2 linked regions of the Mus musculus genome follow. The protein of the gene in region 1 interacts with the protein of each later gene in a biochemical or structural test. Links are inferred from orthologs where the notes say so. Each region holds a gene or a part of one and is shown in the gene's direction. Other genes may lie near its edges.

Region 1 (3,805 bases):
ATTGAGCTGTGACTGGACTCAAACTTTCCAGCAGGCCACTGGAAAGACGGGCACTCCCGGGCAAACATTTACCTTTTCCCTGTGATGCAGTCTCAGAAGTAGGCCTTGGTGTTGAAGTTCCAAATTAATGGACCCCAATCTCCACAAAGGAAAGGGTAGCTAGCCAATCTTTTGTATCTTATTAAGGAGTGTGTGGGAGGAAAAGAGTGGGTTTTTGTTGTTGTTTTTGGTTTTGTTTTGTTTTTTTTAACTTGCTCTTTGATGAGGAAAAGATAAACCCTAATTTATATCCTCTACCCTGCAATTAAAGATTAAGACCAGAGCCAGGCCTGTCCAGGCTGGTCTACCCCATGTGGCTCATGGATTTCTCTCCATCCCAGCTCTCACTAATCTAGTGATTCTAACCCAATATTACAGGCTAGGAGATGCCTTTCTCCCTCCTGTGTCCATCTTGGGCTCATGTAACGTATGGTACCCGAGAACAACAGTCTCCTAGACCCTGCTGCGCTCAGGTGCTGCCTGTAATAACTGTGCCACGGTCTATTTCCTGAGACCACTAACCACGGATGTGACTAGAAGGAGGAATTTATTTCTACAGGCCAGAAGTCCAAAGTAAAGGTGTTGGCAGGGACGCACGCCCTTCGGAGGCTTGGTGGGAAGTGATCTATCTGCCTCTCACGGTGTCTGTGGCTTCCTGCTGTCCTCAGTTTGGGCTGTCCTCAAGCCCTGTCTCTGGTTGGTTATGACTGCCATTTGTGTGCCTACTGCATTGGAGTCCACCTGGCTAAATCAGAACGAGCTCCTCCTCTTTAAACCTCAGCTTAATTGCAGAGTTGCTCTCAGGCTACCAGGATTTGACATGATATTGGGGGAAGGGCAGGCAGCCCCCCCACCCCACTCCACCCCACCCCACCTCCGATTTAGCTGATCACAGGAGCTACCTGATTCAAGAATAGGCCGGGGCTATTCCCAAGTCTTGTTTCCAGTGAGAATCCCATCTCCTCAAACACTCCACTCCTGGCCACAGGCATGCTGGTTCCACCCAGCCGCACCGAGGTAGTGTATATATTCCAAACAAAGAACGTTTGACTAGGGACAGGAGGGATTCTAGATCAGGTAAGGACAGGTGACCCGCTTAGGCAGTCATTAGTCTTTGCCCAGAAAACATCAGGGAGGCGTTTGATGGACTGTTTCTCTTTCTCTTTAGCTTGAGAATAGCGAGTAAAAGCAAGGAGGCGGGACTTTCCGATCTGCCGAGGCCCAGCTTCTGCTTCTCCAGCTGTGGCCACATCAGGCCCGTGCAGGACGATGAATCTGAGCTGGGAAAGGAGTCCTGCTGTTCTCCACCCCCAGACTACAACTCCGTGGTGTTGTACTCCTCCCCGCCCGCCTAAAGCTTCTCACCAGCCCCGACAACCAGCCCCTGACAGTATTATACATCTATGAGTTTACACCTATTCCGCTCCACAGGAGCCAGCTGCTTTTCGTGACCTTTAATCGTGCTTTTTTGTTTTTTGTTTTGTTTGTTGTTGCTGTTTTGACTAACAAGAATGTAACCCCAGTTAGTGACGTGTGAAGAATACTATTGTTAGAGAAATCCCCCCCGCAAAGCCTCAGGGTAACCTGGACAGGAAGGAGCAGGTGCCTCTGGCGACCGCCCCGCCCACCGGCCATGGCCCCACCCACCCTCCCTGCAGCTGTGGGACTAGAGGCAGTAAGCCCATTAGCTCATGGCTGCATGCACTGACCTGCTCTGTCTCTCTTATGGAGGAAAGGGAGAACAGAGCAAACAGGAGGCACAGGAAAAGGCTTTGGGATGCGTCCGTCCTGTGGAGCCCGTGCAGGAGGGGGCTCCGCTATGCCACTTCAGTGACTTCTCACTCCTGGCCTCCGCTGTTTCGGGCCCCCTTCCAAGAGGTATCAGAGCAGAACATGAGGGACGTTTCCTAGACCAGGGCACATGTTCTCGGGAACCACAGTTAATCTTAAATCTTTTCCCGGGAGTCTTCTGTTGTCTGTTTACCATCCAAAGCATATTTAACATGTGTCAGTGGGGGTGGCGCTTGGCTTCTGAGGCCAGAGCCATCATCAGTTCCTCTAGTGAGATGCATTGAGGTCATACCCAAGCTTGCAGGCCTGACCTTCGCATACTGCTCACGGGGAGTTAAGTGGTCCAGTTTGGCCTAGTAAGGTTGCCTACTGATGGGCTCAAAAGCCACATTTTAAACAGGTTTTATCTCAAGTATTAATATATAGACAAGACACTTATGCATTATCCTGTTTTATATATCCAATGAATATAACTGGGGCGAGTTAAGAGTCATGGTCTAGAAAAGGGGTTTCTCTGTACCCAAATCGGGCTGGTTGGACCAAGACCCAGAGAGGCAGAGTGGTTGTCCCAGCTATAGTTACTAAACTACTCACCCAAAGTTGGGACCTCACTGGCTTCTCTTTACTTCATCATGGATTTCACCATCCCAAGGCAGTCTGAGAGGAGCTAAAGAGTATCAGCCCATATTTATTAAGCACTTTATGCTCCTTGGCACAGCAGGTGATGTGTAATTTATGCAAGCTCCCTCTCCAGCTAGGACTCAGGATATTAGTCAATGAGCCATCAAAAGGAAAAAAAAAAAACCATCTTATTTTCATCTGTTTCATACCTTGTCTGGGGTCTAATGACGATGGCAACAGGGTAGACATGGGAAGACAGGGTAGAAAAGGGTGCCCGCTCTTTGGGGTCTAGAGATGAGCCCTGGGTCTCTAAAATGGCTCTCTTAGAAGTTGTATGTGCAAATTATGGTCTGTGTGCTTAGGTCGTGCACACCTGCCGGAGCCGGTCACAGCTGGGCAGACGATGAATAGCTGCTTTGGGAGAGCAGAGCATGCTAGCCACTTAATTCTCTGACCGGGCCAGCATCATGGGTACCTGCTCCCCTGTGTACCCCATCCTTAAGGTTTTCTGTCTGATGAGACTGGAGGCCCAGTGCAATCCCCACTGAGACAGCCTGCAGCCCACTGTGGCTCTTGGTGCACTCACCAGCCAGGACTAGACAAGTAGGAAAGGGCTTCTAGCCACACTGGAGAAAAAGAAAATCAGGTAGGGCTGGCCAAAGACATCTTTGTCCATTCGCAAAAGCTCTTGTCGGCTGCAGTGTGTAAGTCAGGCGATGAGACAGAGGCTACCAGAGAAACGGATGAGAACAGCAGCCTGAGGTTTCTCATCCAGATATCCAGCAATTGGGGGGTGGGGGAAGACCATAGATGGTCCTGTATTATTCCGATTTTAATAATCTAATTCGTGATCATTAAGAGACTTTAGTAAATGTCCCTTTCCCACAAAAGTAAAGAAAAGCTATCGGGATTCTCTGGTTCTGCTTAAAGACTTAGCTTTGGAGCCTATGAAAGTTGATCAGCCAGGAAAAAAAAAAAAAAAGGAAAGAAAGGAAAGAAAGAAAAAAAGAAGGAAGACGGTTCCTTCTGAGTTTTTAGGGTAGGAAGAAAAATGGAAACTTCTAACGACAGACATACCTAGGTGCACTGGGCCTGATCACCAAGAACATGATTGGATGCTAAGAGCCTGGACAGTGGCATTCAAACCGTTTGCCATTCAAGGCCCAAGTAGATGGCACTGAGGAAGAACAGACATTTCTCCCAGTGTGTGAGATCGCCAGTGTGTGACTAGGGAGCTGAAGGTCAGGCAAGTCTGCATTAGCCTGAGATGGACTGTCAGGGGGCAGTGCTGTTCAAAGCCTGTTGCACGGGACTCAGTGCAGGGAGAGGGCAGGGCACCCTTGACCCACGGTGG
Region 2 (4,362 bases), on another chromosome or scaffold:
CAATGACCCCGCAACCATGCTCTGGAGCCAGGGAGACAATCTGTCTACTGTACAATCCCCAGCATGTTGGAGCTCGTCAGAATGTTCTTTGCAACCCCCGCTTAGCTGGCCAGTGACTGGCCCCTGGCTCCTGGACCTGCAGGCCTCAGGGCCTACCAGACAGAGAGGCAGCATCTCTGGCAGCCCCTTGTGGGTGGGCAGCAGGCCACAGACACAGAGGTCACTGGGGGTGAGAGCCAGGACTGCCCTAGCCTCCCTGCCTCTGAATGGAATGTGATCCAAGAGCCACCTCCCAGGCCCATCTCCTCCCCCACAGCCACCCACCAACTTCTGACTCTGGATGCTGCCAGGTTTTTGCAACCAGCCCACAAGCTGGTCACAGAGGTTTGTTAGAATGGTAGGTGATGAAGAACAACTCAGGAACACAGGAGGTTACCACAAAAGTACAGACATGCATGGCTGCACACAAGTACAAAGAGATACCCAGAGACCCAGATCTGCGACACACAGTGTAACTGGGCACGTTCAGTGGGTGACATATACACACAGCTTCATAGGTATACACAAGTGCCCATGCAGACACCACCTCTCCTCAGCATGTCCTGCTGCTCTAGAACACTTCCTCTTCTGCTTGGGCTCGGGAGGTGATGCCAGGTTAGTCCATTCCCTACCTCTAATAGGCTGGCCTGACCTGACAGGAGGAAGTGGTGGTGGACCTAGGTCTAGCCAGGTGCCCCGAGGTGTTTCCTGTGTACAGCCCACAGCTGGGCTGCCCTGTGCCTGCCTACCAGGTCAGATAGTACATGGAATAGAGGGACGGTTCTGGAGGCACGTAGCTTGTCTTGTCTCTGCCAGATCCCTGTCTACGCAGGCAGATGCCCGCGGGCACACATACACTTTCCTAGTGTGAATATGAACATTGTTCAGCATCTGCAGGTGGTGCCCTCTCATAGGATCGGGTTGTTAGTCTATAAAATGGGGTTAGTAATCCTGTCACCTCTCCTCCCGGGGTTGTGTAGGGATGGCACTGGTCATGAAGGGCCACAGCAAGATGCTGCCTTCTTAGTACTGCACTCCCTGCAGAGGTCACTTAAGTACCCAGCCATCTCCAAGGCAGATGTTGGACGTCCGCACCTGGAGGCTCCAGAAGAGCCAGGTGCAACCTTGGCTGTCGCTGCGGGCTGACCCTGGGGCAAGCTAATGAACGCCTAGCTCCGAGGGGCCAGGAGATCTGCGCCGGCAGCGCCCCTTCAGCGCCCTGCGGGGTCACGCGCACTCAGGTCTCACCGCCAACCGGCTCTCAGCGCTCCCGGGCTGCTCCTGGGGCCTCGAGATAGAAGTGGGCGGGCAGGCTGCAGCCCCGCCCCATACACGGTCTTGAAAACCAGCGGCCGACTAGCTTCAGTTCGTAGGGAAGCTGCAGTCTGAGAAGGAAACCGCATCTTCAGACTTCTGCTCACTCACGAGAGGAGCTAGGGTCATCGGACCCCTAAGATCCTTTCACATCGCTCCGACTCGCCGGAACACTCCTCACCAGTTTCCTCAGCCACAGCCCTACCTGTGAGCTCCGGACTTCCCCGGCTTTCTGTGGATGCTCAGGCAGACTGCAGAGACCTAGCCTAGGACAGCAGTGAGGGGGACACTCCTCTCCTCTCCTCTCCTCTGGTATCAGCGTCTCCCCCAAGGGGGACGAGCATGGTGATTGTGCCTTGAAGGACCTTGGCTCTGGATGTCTGAGAAGATGCTGGTCATGAAGCTGTTCACTTGCTTCTTACAGGTCCTAGCTGGGTTGGCTGTGCATTCCCAGGTAAGGACCTGGCCTGGCTTCCTCTTGACCTTCTCATCCTAGCCGTAGAAACAGGGGCTATGGTCTTTAATTACAGACTCACTTTAGAGAGCAGCTTCTGCTAGGGTGCCCACATATTTCCCAGGGGCTGGGCTGGACCTCAGGGAGGAGACCTCTGGCTGGGCAGTCCCCAATTCCTGGGGGCTGTCTTAGTGGGGGCAGGGAAGCCACAGGGAATGAGGGAGGTTTCCTGTCTAGCCCCTGGAGCCCTAGTGGCTTTGCAAAAAGCATCCGTCCACTAATCCCAGTCAGCTCCCTGGCCCTGTGGTCAGGGTTGTGGCCCCATGACCAACCAGGCGCCCCCAGGACCTCTGACCTGGCCTAGTGGGGAAGGAGCTGACTAAAGAAGCTTGAGGTGGGGAGGTGAGGCCCTTCCCCCACCATTGCTCCAATTGAGCAGAGGGCTCTTGGGTGGGCTTCAGATATGACAAGGGATCCTGCCGTGCCCTTTCCTCCTGGTGGGTGTCAGAAGGTCCTGAGTGCAGGGCCTGGGGAAGTGAGCAGGGCCCTTTTCCCAGGAGCTGGGTGAGTCTGGCAGGGAGCCAGATTGGGCAGCAAAATCCTGACAAAGCCAATGCATTCCCTTCCTGCTGCACTGCCCGCTGCACTGCCCACTGCCCTGGGAGCCCTCAGCCCCAGCCCAGGAGTGGGTGGGTTGTCCAGTCCCCTTGCCGAGCAGCCAGGCCATCCGTCTGCTTGCTGCAGTGTTAGCTCGAGGTGTAACGTTACTGGCAGGCAGCACCAGCTCATGGCGCCGCCTCTTCTCCAGCCCCTGAGCTCCCACCAGCTGATCACCCTCCCCCTGGGCTCTGGCACCCAGCCAAGGCGGGCTGTAGTAGGCCCAGCAGGACTGGCCTGGGGGCTGGGCAGAAGAGAGACCCCACAGGATTACAAGCACTTGGGAACACAAGAAGCCTCCTACCCTTTTCCAAGTGAAGAAACTGAGGCCAGAAAGTCAGGTGGTTTTTAGCAGAGGATGGGGGAGGAGCTTGGGGTGGGCTCAAAGAGCCGAGCCCCAAGAATATGCCCCCTCCTTATAGCTCCACCTTTGTGTCCACCGCAGGGGGCCCTGTCTGCTGGGAACAACTCAACAGAAGTGGAAGGTAAGCCAGCCAGGCCAGCTCTGCAAGCTGAGCCCCCTCTCTTCTTTCCTCATGAGCCTCAGCAGCCAAGGAGAAGGGATCGGTTGGTCTGAAGGGTGGGAGCAGGCCAGTGGCAAGCTGGGGTGGGTCTGCAAGCTCGACATCCAGGCTGAAGCCCAAGAGTCCAGCTTTTGTGACCCAGCAGCCTAGAGAGGTGCAGTCATGGGTTAGGGTCACCAAGCACACGGAAAGCAGGACGTGATCGCTAGGGTTCGTCCAGCTGGCTCAGGGCCCCTGCCCAGCAAGCTGTAAGGATGCAGATGGAGTCTTGGTGGACAGAATCTGTGTTGAGTGCCGGAGGCCAGACTGGAGTCTGGGAACTGGATATAGTAAGGAGCATTCAAGGGGCTTGGTCAGGACGAAGAGTCCTCCCTGCCATTCCAACCCTGGTGGAGCTGTGCAGCGCTGACCAGGCGTTTCCATTGATTACAAACAGGCGGGCTCTGTCACACCCTCCCTGGCCCTTTCACTCTCTGCCCTGGGTTGTGTCAAGACATAATCTTCAAAGGGCAGCAGGACCTTTGCCAAAGAGAGGAGCGCGCCCGCCGAAGGCTCGTGCCAGATCCTCTCTCCTTCTCCCTTCTTGCCTCTCAGAGACATGGAGGATGGCCACATACCATGACTGAGGCATCCAACAGCATGGGAGAAAGGATGTGCTTGTAGTAGTGTCCTCAAAGACACAGATAATAGCTGGATTGCTTTCTTGGCCTGGGAACACCCTCTGCTGGTCTGCCCCTTGTCTGTTCCCCATCCCCCTGGGAGCAGCCTGTCTGTCCTCGTCCTCTGCCTGCCCTCACATCTGAAGCCCAGACCACTGAACAGGTTAGAGAGGTAGCTGCCTCAACTTCAGGGACTTGCCCATTTTTGAGCCCCCTGGAATTGATCTGAGGAGGGTCATATCTCCCACCCCCCACATCATATCTGTTATTGGGGACTTTTGTTTGTAGAGCAGACACCAGCTTCCAAAGAGATCTCAGCCTCTGTTTCCTCATCTGTTAAATGGGAGAGCTTAGCTAAGTGCTTGATTTCAAAGACTCTTTTCCCAAGGTTGTGAAATTCTGAGTCCTTGGAAGAAACATGAATGTATATTATACTTGCCAAGATCCAGTGTGAGAAAGCTTGGAGGTATAGATTCAGAGTGTAGGCCATCTCACCTATAATCCTGACAAGCGAGTGGGCCTGCATTGTGGCCAAGGAAACAACAGTGGTTAGCATCTGGCATTGTCATCCCCTCCTGCTAACACCAGAGGCAGAGGCAGCATGGTACCACTTTTTTTTACCACTGTTCTTCTCAGTTCCAGGGATGAGCATGTGAAGGAGGGAGGTCCCAGTGTGTCACAGATGATGTATATGGGGTTGGGTGTGGGGGGAGGC

What was found.
Region 2: the proteins of Flt1 (region 1) and Pgf are reported together in a solved structure, tested with the Homo sapiens proteins (2 studies listed by BioGRID and IntAct, with this or other methods). The link is inferred for Mus musculus from reciprocal best matches to the Homo sapiens genes FLT1 and PGF.

The regions. Positions count from the first base shown.
Region 1 is NC_000071.6:147,561,809-147,565,613, reverse strand, and holds part of Flt1 (vascular endothelial growth factor receptor 1 isoform 1 precursor), read left to right. Parts: intron 1-1,207; coding exon 1,208-1,394; 3' UTR 1,395-3,805. UniProt on the Homo sapiens protein: Tyrosine-protein kinase that acts as a cell-surface receptor for VEGFA, VEGFB and PGF, and plays an essential role in the development of embryonic vasculature, the regulation of angiogenesis, cell survival, cell migration, macrophage function, chemotaxis, and cancer cell invasion.
Region 2 is NC_000078.6:85,174,343-85,178,704, reverse strand, and holds the start of Pgf (placenta growth factor isoform 1 precursor), read left to right. Parts: upstream 1-1,391; 5' UTR 1,392-1,729; coding exon of another isoform or gene 1,730-1,741; coding exon 1,742-1,807; intron 1,808-2,722; exon of another isoform or gene 2,723-2,805; intron 2,806-2,886; exon of another isoform or gene 2,887-2,909; coding exon 2,910-2,949; intron 2,950-4,362. UniProt on the Homo sapiens protein: Growth factor active in angiogenesis and endothelial cell growth, stimulating their proliferation and migration. It binds to the receptor FLT1/VEGFR-1. Isoform PlGF-2 binds NRP1/neuropilin-1 and NRP2/neuropilin-2 in a heparin-dependent manner.